Linked DNA regions of Oryzias latipes. The protein of the gene in region 3 purifies or fractionates together with the protein of the main gene of each other region. This does not show direct contact. Links are inferred from orthologs where the notes say so. Each region holds a gene or a part of one and is shown on either strand. Other genes may lie near its edges.

The links.
Region 1: the proteins of tmem259 (region 3) and srprb purify together in Homo sapiens (affinity purification with mass spectrometry; 3 studies listed by BioGRID and IntAct, counting the BioPlex papers as one, with this or other methods). This does not show direct contact. The link is inferred for Oryzias latipes from reciprocal best matches to the Homo sapiens genes TMEM259 and SRPRB.
Region 2: the proteins of tmem259 (region 3) and tmub1 purify together in Homo sapiens (affinity purification with mass spectrometry; 3 studies listed by BioGRID, with this or other methods). This does not show direct contact. The link is inferred for Oryzias latipes from reciprocal best matches to the Homo sapiens genes TMEM259 and TMUB1.
Region 4: the proteins of tmem259 (region 3) and rnf185 purify together in Homo sapiens (affinity purification with mass spectrometry; 3 studies listed by BioGRID and IntAct, counting the BioPlex papers as one, with this or other methods). This does not show direct contact. The link is inferred for Oryzias latipes from reciprocal best matches to the Homo sapiens genes TMEM259 and RNF185.

What each region holds. Positions count from the first base shown.
Region 1 is NC_019871.2:13,914,230-13,918,318, reverse strand, and holds the start of srprb (signal recognition particle receptor subunit beta), read right to left. Parts: upstream 2,852-4,089; 5' UTR 2,805-2,851; coding exon 2,639-2,804; intron 2,334-2,638; coding exon 2,239-2,333; intron 2,159-2,238; coding exon 2,081-2,158; intron 1,999-2,080; coding exon 1,916-1,998; intron 744-1,915; coding exon 607-743; intron 1-606. UniProt on the Homo sapiens protein: Component of the signal recognition particle (SRP) complex receptor (SR). Ensures, in conjunction with the SRP complex, the correct targeting of the nascent secretory proteins to the endoplasmic reticulum membrane system.
Region 2 is NC_019875.2:10,863,001-10,867,286, forward strand, and holds the start of tmub1 (transmembrane and ubiquitin-like domain-containing protein 1), read right to left. Parts: upstream 2,850-4,286; 5' UTR 2,429-2,849; intron 2,351-2,428; exon of another isoform or gene 2,173-2,350; intron 1,812-2,172; 5' UTR 1,795-1,811; coding exon 1,340-1,794; intron 1-1,339. UniProt on the Homo sapiens protein: Involved in sterol-regulated ubiquitination and degradation of HMG-CoA reductase HMGCR. Involved in positive regulation of AMPA-selective glutamate receptor GRIA2 recycling to the cell surface.
Region 3 is NC_019862.2:1,620,101-1,624,222, reverse strand, and holds the start of tmem259 (membralin), read right to left. Parts: upstream 2,807-4,122; 5' UTR 2,387-2,806; intron 614-2,386; 5' UTR 480-613; coding exon 276-479; intron 1-275. UniProt on the Homo sapiens protein: May have a role in the ERAD pathway required for clearance of misfolded proteins in the endoplasmic reticulum (ER). Promotes survival of motor neurons, probably by protecting against ER stress.
Region 4 is NC_019870.2:13,777,174-13,781,446, reverse strand, and holds the start of rnf185 (E3 ubiquitin-protein ligase RNF185), read right to left. Parts: upstream 2,837-4,273; 5' UTR 2,763-2,836; exon of another isoform or gene 2,490-2,762; 5' UTR 2,421-2,489; coding exon 2,245-2,420; intron 31-2,244; coding exon 12-30; intron 1-11. UniProt on the Homo sapiens protein: E3 ubiquitin-protein ligase that regulates selective mitochondrial autophagy by mediating 'Lys-63'-linked polyubiquitination of BNIP1.

The DNA.
Region 1 (4,089 bases), on a different chromosome or scaffold from region 3:
AGAAATTAATCTACTTCTTACCATTGACTGTATATGGAGAACTGGACTGAGCGAGTGTGACATCAGCAATAAAAAATGACTAACCAAATGAAGTCAATTCAGTCGCCATTCTTCCACCACATGTCCGTCACCATGTTGGAGCCAGACGTCCTCAGTAAGCTGTGATTGGTCCGTGTCGGTCCTAGTCTACATTTCTATGGCAACCTATCTCTGCAATCAGGAGTGAGCATGATAGAAGGCCACACCCCTTCCACTGAAAGCAGGTTCAGGAGAGTCTGTCAATCAAATGCTTCGAAGGTTCAACACAAGGCCACCTACTTTTATTGAAGCATCTGATTGGTCAGTTTATAATTTGAATAACTAGTGCTACAGCAAAAATATTAAACATTGTTTTAGGATTAGCAAAAACACGTTAATAAAGGGTAGCAGAGCAAGAATGGTTATTTTGATAAGTAATAGCTGTTAATTTCTCAATAGAAGTCTATAGGATTTCGGCTTTTTGGGACCAGCGGGTACTTTCTATTTGGAGCACAAGCAGCAACTCAGTCCAGTTCTCACATACAGTCAATGGCTTTTACGCAATAAAAAACAAAAAGGATGTTAAACCTTGTTTGTTGCACGCCACCAGGAGAGTTGGGGTGTTTCGGCAGATCACGCTATCGGTCAGCAGGACGTACAGAAACTCGGCTACGTCTCTGACTTCTTTCTGGAAAATGGCGCTGTCCACCACAAACACGATAGCTCTGAGGATAGAAAGGAGGAGTCATTCCAAGTGTCACCATGACGCAAATGCATGTGCTATGAATGCCCAAACTGTAATCATAGAGACAAAATCCCTTTTCTGATTTGGTTCAAAGGCACTTGAGCTGAGTTTCAAACAAGAACTTTACAGTAAAAGGGAAGAACACAAAATCTAAAAGCAGTGCTGGAACAGATCACATTTCTACGGGTTTCGGCTTCACTTCTATTAATTCACACAGATTTTGGAATTTCTGAACACACAAAGCATCAAAAAGATTAGCATCATTTTATCTTAAATACATCCCAGTTTCCATATATTCCAGACAGGAATCTTCATTCTAAATCAGCAAGATTAGAGGTTAATCTCAAAAGTTTCACAATTAGAATCGGTGGCAGAGCCTTAAGACATCATGTTAGTCCAAGAGTTTGGGAGGCAGACGCTGTGTTGAAAACGTACTCGGCCCTGTCTGCACTCTCATCTGCACGTATGTATGTTTAAGGCCCATTCCAATTATCTTCTGATCTATTGTAAACTTCTTCCTTGTGTTTTTTTTTTATTAGGATTATGCTGAAGGAGCAGCAGGAGTTACTTAGAAATTGTGGGCTGGGGCCATTGGCACAGAGTAAGCATGGCCTGACTTCCCATGATCCCTTTCTTTATACGCTCTCCCGCTATCTTAAAACACCAAGCTAACATTAGTGGTGCATCAAAAAAAATATATTTTTTCATCTGCTCCTGATTCACAACGATTTAAATAAAGAAATACTCAGAAATGTAGTTTAGTAGTTTTTTTTTTTAAATGTCCTCCATCAGGAGAAAAATAAATCTACAAGAACATGTTAAAACCCCAATTTTTATTGGAGTGGGTCTTTAATCAGTTGTGGTATATGGTCCCATCAACCAAATCTTCCGCTGGAGGTTTCTAACAATGTTTTGATTTAGAAGTTTTCCTCTCCATACTTGTTCATTTGCGTGCTCAGAAGGGGGGATTACATCAAAAAAATCCTTTAATCTCATAGCCACCTATTATCCTTCAATCTGTCCGAACTGTAATGATCTGGACTGAAGTGAATTATAAGAATAACGGCTTTTATAACTGTTTGTTTACCCTATTAAGTCAACCCTAAGTGTGTTTGACATGAAACAATCCAGCCATTGCGTTTAGCATCTCACCTGGCTGCTGACTTGAACTTCTCCAGGTACTGAGCCCGGAGACTGTCATGACCTGGCAGGTCTATCAGAGTCCAAGTTGTGCCCTGGAATCAGAAGACGACACAATCCGTTGAGAAACCAGCCCACATGGCTTGATATGTTGTTGTTTTGATGTCTTAACCTCACCTTATCACTTTTGGCTTTATAAGGGGCACTGCTGTCAGTGATGGAGGTCTGTGTTCGCTTGAACTTCCCTGATACTAGCTGTGAAAACAGAAAAGCCACCATCAAAACAGTCCCCTCAGGATCACAGCAGGAGCCAGCGGGTCAGAGGTCAAACCCACCCGACTGAACAGGAGGGTCTTCCCGGAGTCACACAGTCCGACCAGCAGCACGGCGCTCCGGACGGTTTTGCTGGTGAGGAAGTACTTCAGAAAAACTGAAGACAAAAAGCAGAGAGTTTTAATGTTTGTTAGTCTGCAAAGTTTGAATGGCTTCCTGTGAGGCGCAACAGACAGCTGCTAGCTTTAGCTTAGCAGCTAGCTTTCTCCATTTTCAATGCGGCTACAACCGTAAAAGCACAATTAAAATTGTTCATAAACACACATTTGAATGCTAGAACCTGACCCCGCGCAGAAACAAACCCCTCAAACTCCCAACAAACTACTTCCATTGAGCCACATGCCTGGCCTAGTAGCATGCTAAGCTAATCGGTTAACGGTAAGAGACTGACGCAAACTTTACCGCAGGTGATGATGATCGCCGCTAAGGCCACGACGACGCTGATCAGAAAAACTGGGTCTTGCTCTTCAACCTGTTTGCGGACATACTCGATGAATTGTTTAACTGTGTTTTCTAGCATCTTCGCGTCCTCTTTTCCTCCCATGTCTCCACCGACGCTGCGTTCCATCAGCCCCGGATCATCTGAAACGGGACACGTTTCCTTAGCCTGTGTTACGCAACGAACACCAGAGGGCGCTGCTCAGCAGCACTCAGGAAAACAGAAGAAAACTGGAGGTTTTTTAGATACACAATATTAAAGAATTTATTTATCATTTCCACCATAGACCTATGTATTTTTGGTTTGTTTGAACTAAATAAAATATTTATTTCCCCCCTAATTTATCAGCTGTTGATCATCCTTATTTGTTTTTATTGTGATTCTTTTTTGATGAGTTTATTTCATGAGTTGTGTTGTTGTTGCTTGTTTTTGTATACCTCCTAGGGAAATCGTTATCTTTTTTTTTACTTTATGGAATATATATGTTTTTTTATTTTATATATATATATATATATATATATATATATATATATATATATATATATATATATATATATATATATATATATATATATATATATATATATATGTGTGTGTGTGTGTGTGTGTGTGTGTGTGTGTGTGTGTGTGTGTGTGTGTGTGTGTGTGTGTGTGTATGTATGTCTTTTTAAACTCAAAATTCAATAAAAATCAACATGTGATTTTAGAAACACATGTTCCCTGTCAATACAATTGATTAAGGGCTTGTCCCTCAAACTTTGGTCCAATTAATCAAAATCATTTTTTGGATAACGAATTCTGATAGCATTTCACTTTAAATACAGCTTGATGCTGGTTTTCAGAAATTCCCCCATAAAGTAATAGAAACAAGATTAGATGGTTAAAAAAGGTCTTGGTTAAAAAAGGACCTTTTTTAACCATCTAATCTTGTTTCTATTACTTTATGGGGGAATTTCTGAAAACCAGCATCAAGCTGTATTTAAAGTGAAATGCTATCAGAATTCGTTATTGCATATAAACACATGGTTGTGAACACATTTTCAGTTTATTCTTATACCGAAGCAGTTCTTGTTTTTGCCCTTTCCAGTTTTTTCAAACCAAAAGTTTACAATGCCCTGTTTAAACTTTTGGTATGCTGCAAAACTTTAAAACAGTACTCTGGGGTTGTGTGCTTCCGCGGTATTGTTTGCGGTTTAAAAAAATGAAATGCATTAAACTTTTCGGAGCATGAACTGCTTCCTGACATGTTTTTCACATTATTTTATATAAAGACTGAACGTTTGTGGCTCTCAATGGAGACCAGATGCGCTTTTTACGCACTCCGTCTAACCCTGGCAGTCAGCGCGCTTTTTACGCACACGGGATATTTGACTCCTTGCTCTCGGCACGATGTCAAACGTCAGAAACCAAACAT
Region 2 (4,286 bases), on a different chromosome or scaffold from region 3:
ATGTTTAAAACAAACCGACTGTGAAGCTTTTCTTTTTCAGAGCAACAGCTTCAGCTGCATTTATCCAGCATTCTGTGGTTACGTATAACTGCTGCTATGAACCATGATGATGATGATGAGGAGGAGAAATGTTGCAGACAGAGCTGCAGCTTCAAGATTCCTATTGTATTCCTGAAACATTGAGAAGAACCAGAAAGGCCTTCTTTGCTGGATGCGTGTCCTCCTGTGGGGTCCTCACGATGTTTGCTTCAATTCATGAAGCAAACGTGACCGACAGACGTCCCACATCTTCCTGTCTCAAAGTTTGATGAACCAGATTTCTTCCACACGCCCTCAGCAGCTTCATAATAAAGATCTAAACTGACATACAGAACTGCAGCCGAAGTTTGTGTCCCTGCATGCAGAAATAGCATCATCTGACTCAGAAGTGGGCAAAAACAATCCTGATACGCTGAGGAAGATAATTGCGGAGAATAATTATCATCCCAATGAATGAATGATGGAAACCAGCCTCTTGAGGAAGAAGATGCCCTCTCACACTTAACTGATGAAGGAGGAAGCATGAGACAGAGAGACACTCCTAATGTGTGATATAAAGTATCAGTCTATTGATCTGAATAAAAAAAAACTCTTCATGTTGAGCAATATTCCAATGTTCAATGTTTTATAAAGTATCAGAAATATTTCAGAAGGGTTTTTGATGAGTGAGGATCTGTGGCGGACATTCTTCCCCCACAGGGGTTGGGGGTGCTTCCAGTATTTCCGGGTGCCTCTGACCCCCCCCTGCGCGAATAAGGTGGCAATTCTGTAGTGCAATATAGTATGGTAAAGTGCACCGTATTACAGTAATGCAGTCCTTTGTGTTGTGTTGTACAGTATGGTTCAGTGTATGGGATGGTGAATTAGAGTTTAGTGTTGTAAACTACAGTCCAGTACAATGTATTACAGTTTATTCCAGTGTAGTGTGATGGTATACTAGAATATAAAACAGTGAATACAGTGTTGTACAGTAAGTACAATGTAATGCAATGTAGTACAGTGCTGTACACTGAAGCCTATTTTAGTACTGTGTAGTAAGATGTAGTACAATGAAGTACAGTAAAGGACGGTGAAATACTGTATACTACATAGATAATAGTGTGGTATATTGCAGTACCGAGTACAGACAAGTATGGTGTGATATGGTCCATTGCAGTGCAGTACACTGTGTTAAATTGTACTGCAATGAAGTACGTAAAAGTAGAATAAAGTACGGTGTAGTACAGTGAAGTGTGGTGCAGTGTAATACCATGTAGTGCAGTACAATAAAGTAAACTGATAGATACGATAGAAAAGTTACCGTTTGATGTATCCGATGGTGTCTTGTGGTTTGACTTGAGCCGTTCTCTCTGTGTCGTTCAGAAATTTTAGTCTGACCACCATGTTTCTTGGGGAGGACAATGGCTCCCCCCCTGCTCTGTGTCTGACTCCTCCCCCCACCTCACTACCTTCCTGTGTGGCGGAGGTCGTGGGTGGAGCCTCTGACGGGACGCTGTCATTCACAGAGCTGGCAGCTGAAGATGAGGATGACGTTGGAGAGAAAGACAAGGAGCTGCTGCTGGTGGAGGACAGGGGCGTGTCCTGTGGGGCAGAGACGGTGCCTTCTGTGGGGGTGGGGTCTGTAGAGGCATTGAACAGGTGCTCTGGGGGCTCAGAGGTGTGGGTGGAGATCCATGCCAGCAGCAACACCAACAACACCAGCAGTGAGCCAAAGAGCAGCGTCACCTCATCGCCGACACCTTCGATTAGAGCCATCGCCCACGATGACACACCTGCAAACAGGAGGCGGAGCTTAGCGTCAGCCATCACGAGTTTCATTTGTCATAGAGCACCACCGATAATAACTCTTAGCTTTCCGTGTGAATGTAACCAACTCAGAATTGACCGGACTAACCATAACCAGCCTGATCTTTTGATCTATTTTCAACGTGTTTCCTTTTTATACTTTTACTTGTTCATTTTTTGATTGAATGTATCAAACACAGTTAGCATTTAAGTGCTGCTTCAGTTTACATAGGTATTTATTCAATGTGCCCTAATAAAAGTATTATGAAGAAAAAAAACCCAGGAAACTTTAAAATGCGAGCAGTACAACTATGATGACGTGGTTGAAGAAGCCCTCTCCGCACTCACCTGTTCTTTTTGTAAACAAACTCCCAGTATAACCCACGTGGCATTTTCAAAGTATTCCCGGACCCTGAACCGTTCTAAACTGCCTCACTAAGATGACTGTTACCCAGCCAAACCCTCATTATTTCACTTTTACACTGCGGCCGCACCTGTGATCTTTCCTCGATGTCTGAGCGTTGTCAAACTGAGGTCAGCTCCCCACGCGCCCTGTAATGCCACCTGTTAATCACGTCACGTGACACACAGAAGCACATCTCACCTGGAGGGTGGACGGCCGGACTATGTATGTGCAGATCCAAACATGCAACTCGAACCAAACCATGGTCTCTAGTGTAACCTGGCTTTATCGGAACCTAAGTTCCGAGAAGCTAACTAACAACTCTGACAAGAGAACGAGTTCAGAGCGGGATACGAACAACCTGACCGAACCTTGTTTAGAGCTGGACCCAAACAGAGGCTAAGAGGAAGCCTCGGAACAAACAGACAGACTTGAAACTCACTGATTAAGGTCCAAACGTCATATCATGAGTTGTTAGCCCGTGGGCTTCCAGGCTAATGTTCGCCAGATGGTCACTTCCTGTTCACGCTTCTTCTTCTGGCCTCCCGGTAGAACCAACGCGATGATGGTGGCATGCTGCCATCTGCTGGTACTTGGTGAAACACCACACGTTCAGGCCGTTGATCAGAAATGAATGAGAAACCTTATGGTGGATGAAAGACAGACCAAAGACGTTCGTGGAGTGAGAAGTGGTTGGTGTGAGCAAAGATGCACACAGCTTAAATGGTCGGAGACATTCCCTAAAGGGAACAGTCAAAAAGTGAAAAAACGTAAGCTTTCTCGATCATTACATTCAATTGTTTTATAAAACACATTGTCAATCATATCGTAATGGTGGTTTAAACTCACACGGGGAGAGACTCAATTTGCCTCATAGTTCCTGTATCCTTGAAGTTTCAAAATAGATCTCTTATGTAACGACTAGTTTACTTAATCTGCCTAAAGTCAGCTGCCTAATTCAACCTTTACCTTTTAATACATCATTTCAAGGTGTTATCAGAATCAGAGATACTTTATTGATCCCACACGTGGGAAATTTGTTTGTCACCATAGCAACTGACAGCAGAGGGGAAAAAAGACTAAGAATTAAGTAAAAAAAAAAAAAAAAAAAAAACAAGAACAAGAAAATGTAGCATAAATACAGACATCAAGGTATTATAATTTAAAAAGCTATTTACAGAACAGTGCAAGTAGAAGATGTGCAAAAGAAATGTGCAAAATAGAAAACAACTAAATAAATAGGTAATAAAAGATGTGCAAAGGTTATTTTTTGCATTGTGTGTTGTACAGGGTTATTGCATTGGGTATGAATGACTTTTGGTACTGGGCAGTTTTGGAGCGGAGCTGTCTGAGCCTCCTAGAGAAGGAGCTCCGCTGTTTGTTCAGAAGAGGGTGAAGAGGATGCTCTGGGTTGTCCATGATTGAAAGGAGTCTGTTCAGGGACCTCCTCTCCATCACTGCTTCAAAGGTGTCCTGTTTGCAGCCAATGACAGAACCCGCCTTCCTGATCAGCTTGTTCAGTCTGTTGGTGTCACTGACTGCAATGCTGCTTCCCCAGCAGACCAAGGAGGAGAACAGGGTGCTGGCTACCACAGACTGGTAGAAGATCCCCAGCATCTTGCTGCACACATTAAAGGACCTCAGCTTCCTAAGGAAGTAGAGTCTGCTGCAGGCCTTCTTGTACACAGCAGTGCTGTGGCTCCTCCAGCTCAGTCTGCTGTCGATAGTCACACCCAGATATTTATACTCCTCCACCGCTTCTACATCCTTGCCCATGCAGAGGCGTTGTAAGACAGTCCTTTTCCTCCGGAAGTCGATCACCATTTCCCTGGTCTTGTCCACGTTGAGCAGCAGGTGATTCTCTCCAGCCCACTCCACAAATCCATCCACCAGCCTCCTGTACTCCTCCTCCTGTCCACCGCTTATACACCCCACAACCACAGAGTCATCAGAGAATTTCTGTAGGTGACATGACTCTGAGTTGTGCTAAAAATCTGAGGTGTATAAGGTGAACAGAAATGGAGAGAGCACAGTGCCCTGTGGGGCTCCCACACCACTC
Region 3 (4,122 bases):
AATAATGCCATTAACCTCTGTTCTCCAAATAAAACCGACCAAAATTCAGACTGAAACCAAATGTTCATGTAGTCTCAGAAACTATACCAGAGTTGAAACACATCACAGAATGCTGATCTGCAGACTAAAACCTAGACGGATGGACAGTCTTGGTAAAACGGAGGTTTTTGGGAAGCAGAGTTTCCCTCCATTCAAAGCGGTTAAAGAGCTCAGCAATGCTTCTCGTTAGCCAGTCAGTTTCTGTCCATAAAGCCAGACAGTTCTGCTTCTCTCACCTTGAGGAGGACAAAAAACTCAAAAACTCTCCTGAAAGACGGAGGGAAGAGACGGGCGTAGGTAACAGCCATCTTGAAAAACAGCGCGTGGAAGAGGCGGTCGCGGACATTGATGAGGGGGTTCTGGTTGATGTTGGGGTTTCGAATCCTGTTGGGTCCAATGTTGTTGTTCAGAGGGACGTTATTGGCTTGGTTCTCGGACATGGTCACTGAGGATTCTGGTTGCAAGACACGGGCCCACTGGCTGGCTCTAAGTGAGCATGGTGGCTCAATACAGCCTCAGAGAGAAGGCGGAGCTCTGGCCGGAGTAGAGTCAACAGGGGAAGCTCCACCGAGAGCTGCAAATGACAAGAAACAAAGAACTTTGATTACTGATCTATCAGGAGTTGACTGAACTTAGATCAGGTTAACCCTTGTGCCATCTTAGATGACCCCCCGTCCTTCCATTGACGTGTTCTCTCTACCATGACAAAGGTGGAAAGATTTCATGTAATCCATGGACACCAGTGAAGATCACAAATCATTGAAGAAAAAAGGTTCAGAGCACTGTCTAGTGGGTCCAGATGACCCAACTCCCAATATTAAAGTGCCTAGGATAGCACAAGGGTTACGCCAAGGCTTCGGAGGAGCTATAAATATGAGGCATGTTTGAGAAAAATCATTAATGACCAGGGCTGTAAAGTGTATCCAAGTACTCGGATATATTTCCCTGAATGTACTAGTACAAATATTTGCAACGCTGATTTGTGATCTTCATGAATCTATGAGAGTGTCATAGAGAGTGTTATTCTTCAATGCAGAATAATGTTGGATTTTAATGATATGAACTGAACACAGCTGCATGAACCACTGAGACCTGAAGTAAATAAAACTTCAAAGTAAAGTGTTGGTTCTCATTTTCAAAGTAAAGCTATCCACTTTTTTCACAATATTAATATTCATAGGAAATATTGGACAACATACATAAAACTGTAATTTAATTGATGATGAAAAAAATAGACAAAATGTCATTTTACTCAAATAAGTCTATTTATTTATTTTGTTTTGTATTTTCTTTTGCTTTGCTAATGACTTTGCTAATGCTTCAAAATGAAAGGTAATTTCATAATAAACTGCAGCTTGTCAGAAATAAAACCAGTAAATTACATTGGAAATGGATTTCTATTGTTATTACAGCTGGGCTGCACGATGTGAGGAAAACACGCAATGGTAGTGATCAGTACTGGCATGATGATATGACTTGCAAAACATGAATAATTAGAGAAAACAAAAAACATACATCATTTCCATTTCACTGCCACAGTGTAAGTTAAATAAAGGTCAACATAACTTACATTTTCTCTAAATGCCCATCATCTACAAAGGAGATGGGCATCCAGCTCCAATGCTTAAAGGGCTGAATTCTATTTGTTAGAAACTTCAAGCTGAGATTGTTTCAGCATGTGTGTAAACATTTAGGTCCGTATTTATCACACAGGCCAACATGACAGTGACAGTAAGGTTATGGTTTTTGTGCGAGCCCAATTGCAGCAAAGCAAGCTATAGTTTGGTCAAATCCTCAGACCTTAGGAAGACTTTGCTGATTGTTATTTAACGTTTTTTTAGGTTTTTAGTGACACCGCTTTAGGCAGACAGGGGCAGTAGTGTCTGTTGTTGAGCTCATTACATTGCCTTCACTTTTTATTGCTTTATTTTGTTGACTTTGGTCATTCTGATGCTTTCAATAACATCACGTTTAAGCAGATGACCAAGAACTGGACCTGTCTTTTTGGTCCTAACTTGAAGGCGTCGGTCGGTCGGTAATTCAAACATCAGTGAGTCCTGAATAAAGACGGTTCACCAACTTCACTTCCAAACTTCCTGTGAGCTCACGTGACCTGGGAAGGCGTTCCTCCTCCACCTGTCCGTATGTTCTGAACCTGAATCAGTCCCAACTACAGTACCAACCAGAACCGTCAGCCCAGACCTGCTGTTGTGCTGATCAGCATGTTGTGCTCTCGTGGCGCATCGATCAGCTGACGTGTTGTGGTCAACAGTCTCGGGCGCCGTCTCTCTCGGGCCTTGCTGCCTTTACTCTTGCCCCGCAGCTGAGACTCCTCCAGCGGACTTACCAGCCAATGACTCCGAATTATCGAGTCCGTGTCAACGTAAACCAGCTCTTCTCGGCGTTTGGATCAGGCCATAAGGCTGAAGCCCAGCAGCTCGAAGCGGACCTCCGCGAAGACGACGAAAGACAGGCTACACAAGCTAGCAGCTAACCCCAGTTAACCTGCGGAACTCGCATTAAACTCACGTTTTCTACGTCAAAGTTTACATAGGCTGGAAACTCAAAATGTTGAAGTAAACTTCAGAAAGGTGTAACTTTCTAATAGGCAAAAATGACCTGTCGGCGTTAAATGACCGAGCTAACGGATGCTGTTATCAAAACCACGGATAGAGCGGAAGTACGGATGTCGGACGCTCAGCCTTCGACCTGCGCGCTGTCTGACAGGAGTTGTTTTTCGCTTTCCTGCATTTTGTCTGCAAAGACTTTTTCCTCGTCTTTGACTGATGATTCATGGCACAAAAAAACCACACAAAAAAACAACAGCATTCAACCCATTGTTTATGGAAGCGATTCTGTAGCATAATTAAAAATAAAAGTCAAAACTAGAAATGCTTTTTCATTTTCAAAATGAAGCTGCATTTTTTGACTCAAAACGAAAATGAAAAAGCAATCCACCAAAATGCTTTTTCATTTTCTTCTTCAACACCGTTCATTCTGTCACTTAATTAAAATGATAATGAAAATGGTATTTGACATTTCATTCTCAAAACGTTCTCTGGTAAATGTTTAACAAAATTCATTTAGAAATGTCTAATTTGACAAAATGGATTAATAGAAATGCAAAAATTCATTTTGAAAATGGTATTCTAGTATTGACTTTTCTGGTATTGACTTTAATTTTTATTTATGCTACAGAGTCGCTTCCATAATTGTTTTCTTGTTTCTCTTGATTTATTTGGTTGAATGCTGTAAACCACTGTTTCTTTTTCATAGCATATTCTGCCGTTTTTCTGCACTTAACTCCTTCTACAATTTTTCACCTATTTTAACCACTCAACTATTACAATGTTCAGCTTATTCCTTCCAGCTATGACTTTAGGTCCTATGAATCTTTGAACTCTTCAAGATAGTCCATGATTTCTGGCTCCATTTAAATACATGTGGAATCCTTGAAAACATTTGCTTCTTTCAACCATTATAACTTCAACATAATTTTAGCTAGACACCATTCAAACGTAAAATGCTCATAAGGCTTTGGACTATAACATGTTTTGAAATCATTATGGGATGGCGACACGACCTACGGTTTGAACTGAACATATTGAAAACCACTCAATATGGACATATAAAGAATTTCGGCATTGTTGAGTAAGCCCAGGGGTAGTTGGCATGGTTAGCAAACAACCTCAGCCATTTCTTCAGCAAGATAACATTCAACCCTGCATTCTGGTAATGCAGCTCCTTTTAGATAACCCTTCAATTTTTATATTTAAAATTCCAGCAAAGAGACTTCAGCGGATCATCAAAAGGACAAGATTCAAGGAGCTGCAGACCTCCAGAAAGCCTGGAATGAGGTGGAGGAACAGCTTCAAGAACCTCCACCTTCAGGAGACGCATCCAACTGTCGGGTTCATCGGGTCAAGAAACTTCTTATTCTAATATTGTTTTTTTTTAGAAAGGGTCTGCATGATGCTTTTTTTTAAATCCAAATTAGTAATTCTACATTATTAAAACTTTATTTATACAGATTGATCTCTTGAGACTTGGTTTCATTGAAAACAGACAGCTGTCAATGTCTAA
Region 4 (4,273 bases), on a different chromosome or scaffold from region 3:
AAGCTGCTTACCTGATGCAAACACGGCCAACTATAGAAGTTAAAAGAATAGAGATCACATTTCATTCATTAAAATAATAATACAAGCCTGATTAAAGAAGATCTGTACAGAGCATTACACTTAAAATTCCCTTATGTAATTTGCCAAATGTTTATAAAGGACACACGGAAATGTAATTGTGCTATTATTCAAATTATAAAAATTCAAAATGTAACTTTTAGACTTTGATCTTTCTCTAAACTTTAAGACAACCTGGTACTGAATTGGCCCTTTACAAAAAAACATTAAACAGAATAACACATATTTTTTTCTAAAGCTTTATTGTTCCATTGGATCTGCCTTTTTTATACACTACCCAAATGCTGCACGACACAAGACTGAAGTCGCTGAGATAAATAACATATGGAATTTATTTACAGAAAACACAAAAACATTAATTTGAGAAAAAATAGTGGAATTTTAGAAGTTTCTATGCAGCTTAAGACACCCAGGACCTGATTTAAACTTGGAAGTCTATTTCTGGTGAGTCTCTACACTTCGGTATTGTACGCAGATTTACAATGAGGCTTCCTGTTGCTTTCAATTCAATTACATTTTATTTGTACAGCCCAAAATCCCAACAACAGTTATCTCAATGGGCTTCGTACCAGTAATTGTAAAGTAAACATAAAATAAAAGGATCAAAAATATATTGAATTCAATAGGAAAATTTTAAACTGAATCAACTAAACAGATTAAACTAAACAGGGCATCTCTGCCCTCAGACCCCTCCTTCATGGTAAGGAAAAACTCCTAAAACAAACGGACTCCGTAAAAAAAGAAGAACTCTCAGGGGTGTCCACATGAAGGAGGGATCCTCCCCAGGACGGACAGGCGATGTACCAGTTATCTAACTCCAGAACTACAACTTTCAGAGATGCTTCTGAAATATCAGTTTGTTAGCTGCAAGTAGTAACATGACGTTTAGCTAAATTCTTCAGTCGTATGACCAAACCTATTGATTTCTTTATGTTACAAAACAACTTCAGGTCAAAAATCTGAGTTAACCACAGATAAGCTTCATAAACTATTCTACGAAGCTCTATTCACAGTTTAATTGGCTCCCTTGTACTTAAAAACATTGACATTCTTTTAAATACAATCTTATCAGCACGCATAACTCAATAGGAAAACAATATGTTCAAGTTCCTTTTATTTATCATCCTGCAGTTTTTGGAGAATTTCTCATGTGATTAGATTCTCTGGCAAAATATGCAAAAAATTATTATTTTTATCTTGAAAAAAATATGGTTTTAACTATCCTTTTTTTTTTACTTTTCCTGTTCAACAGCTGAGCAAACAGATGAGAGCTGAAGGCCTCTTGTGTCAGACATTACGGTACAACAGGGGGTTATGAATCTTCTAACACACAAGATGAATATTTTAATATACCACTTCGGTAATTTAGACTTAACTTTATTTATATTAAATATATTTGAAACCGTTTTTTGTTGGACCGGACAGAAAAGAAGAAGAGGGAAGAAGAGAGAGGTTTATGTCCTTCTGAGGTGGATGAGGGAATGTAAAAAAAAAAAGAGAGAGAGTGCCCAGTCATCCCCACCCCAAGACCCCGGCTGAAGCAGCAGTGGTAGTCAGGACCCCCAACTCCCGCATGATATAGCAGATAAAGAAAAACTGCCGGCCGGGCAATCACATCTGCCACCCAGGCCAGGGCCAGCAGGATCGCCACAGCCCCCCCCCAATGCCAGACAGCAGGGAGGCAAAGGGGAAAAGAGAGTGCAAGGCCCAGCCCGACCAGAAGAATAGCCCCCCAATAGGAGAGCACCCAAGCCCCAGATGAGCAGCCCACCACCCAGGAGTTCGTTTCTGAGCATCCCCCCACCCAAGGGAGACCCACCCCATGCTCCAGGCAGCCACCCACCCAGCCCATGGGAGGTCCAGGAGAGGGCAAAGCGGGGCCAGGCACCCCTGCCCAGGAGGAGGGCACCCAAAAGAAGTGGGGGTTCCCAAGGACTGTTGATAACATTAACGATCCTAACCCTTACAATTTAATTATACTTTTGAGACCAAAAGGCAACAGAACACAGTTGTATAGCTATATGGGGAATTTTTTTTGGTGTGTTTGCTTTACTGATGTTTACATTCATGTATTTTACTTGTTACACATGCAGAACTACAGTCTCAAACAAATACTAGGAGGAATTTCAACCATGTAAACATAGTAAAGAATAGCTGGTAACTTACCAGAAGAGGTGTCCGCAAAGACTGATCACAGCATCTTTCGCGGTGTCCAGGCAGATGTTACACTCGAAGGTGCTGTCCTGGCTGCCTCCCTCCGCTGCGGCCGAGCTGCTCGATCCCGAAGTTGTGCTTTCAGCCGTGGAGCCAGAGGCTGGGGCTGAGGGGGCAGCCGCGGCCATAATCAAATCTGGATCCTCACAGCCAACACTAACGAACTTGCCTCAAAACTCGCACATATGAAGGCCCCACTGGATAGCAAACGAAGACAATGAGTCACGGAGTTTCAATGAATTTTCGCAGTTGGTCGCTCGGTCCGTTTAATTCCAGGCTAATGCTAGCAAACAAAGCCGTAAAGACGGGTTTTTACCCACTGACGTATACTTTACTACGAAAATAAACAAACAATAAAAAGTACTACAGAAAAACAGTTTAAATTATAAACCAGTCTGATATCTACGTCCAAATTGAATCACAGCGGCAAACCATAAGTTGAAGTTCTGAGTTAGGAAAAATATTCTTACATGATGTGACGTCATATCCGCTGCTTCACAAGCACGCGACAAGTTAGTTCCTGGTCAAAAGAAAGAAGGCGGGGCAGAATATTCACGAAATAGCCAACAACCCTTAATAATTTCTTTAAAACGAACTTTATAGAAAAAAGTTTAAAACTTTTCTTTAAATAACCGAGAAGTTTTTAGCGTGCATACATTTAAAAAAAAATCATAAACGTAATAAAAACCTTGAAGAAATAAACAGGGGCGCAACTACCTAATTTCACATGCGGCCTCATTACCCCCCCCCCCCCCCCCCACGCACACAGACATAAATGCACATTAAAAAAACATCTCATCCACCCCTCCTAAAGCTATCTAAACAACACCTTTATTGTTTAACTGTGTACATCTCATTACTTCTTATCTGATCTTGGAGTATCAGAATATTTTAGTGAGCTATTTACAACCGTGTATTGCCTCAATGATTCCCCAAATTTGTGTGGTGAAGCTCATTCAGAAGGATCTTCTGAGTAAAGCCTGGCCCCGGCTCTCTCCTCTGCACCTCTCTGTTCTTCTCCCTCTTCATCATCAGCTGATCGTCTCTCTTTCTCTCTATCATCATCATCATCTGAACCTCTCTCCTTATTCTTCTCTGTTGGGACTGACTTGTCATGTATGTCTGCACTTGTTTTCCTAAAATAAGTGAACAGGTGGTCAGCAGAAGCTTAAACCAGAATGAGCATCTAGGTTTTTGTGACTTCAATAGTTTAATTATTCCTACCTGAAGTCATTTCTGCTCTCTTGTATATCAGATGCATCACCAACCTCACGTCTGTCTCCTTCACCTCTTGTCTGTGTTCTTCTCCACTAAATCATATGGCCAACCAACAATTATTTCATGTTTAAAATAAATTGAACGTCTTGCTAATGCATGATTTTATTTATTTATTATGAAAACTGCCGTGGGGGCACCCAATCAGTTACGATGTGCTTCTGTTACTGACCATATCATGTAAATATAAGTGCACAAACAGGTGGGAAATTAAAAAATACGGACTATAAATAATTGTAATAACATCGGTTTGGCGCCCCCTTTGGCCGGCGCCCCCATACCAATCATGTGCTGCATACCTACTTTTTGCGCCCCTGGAAATATAGAAAAAATGACAACAGTGATAGTTTTTTTACTAGAATATACAGCAAAAAAACATGGTTTCAATTTTAACTGTTAATCAAAAAAGACAAATTTGTGTAGTGTAATGTGTAACTCAAGAATGAAACAGAAAAAGTTTTTAAATGTAGTTTTTATCAATCTGTATTGCTCTAAAACAATTAATTTCACCTGAACAAAACTTTACATTCAAATTTGTATTCACATTTTTTTTACATTTATTTTTTCAAAGTCATAAAGCAGCTTTTTTGTACACTTTAAACATTTTTTTGTATATATTTAAAAAATAAAAACACAATTTATCACAGTTTTTTCTTTATGTCTCAATTTGACTGTTTTCATCAAGGGAAAAAAAACGTTTTTATTC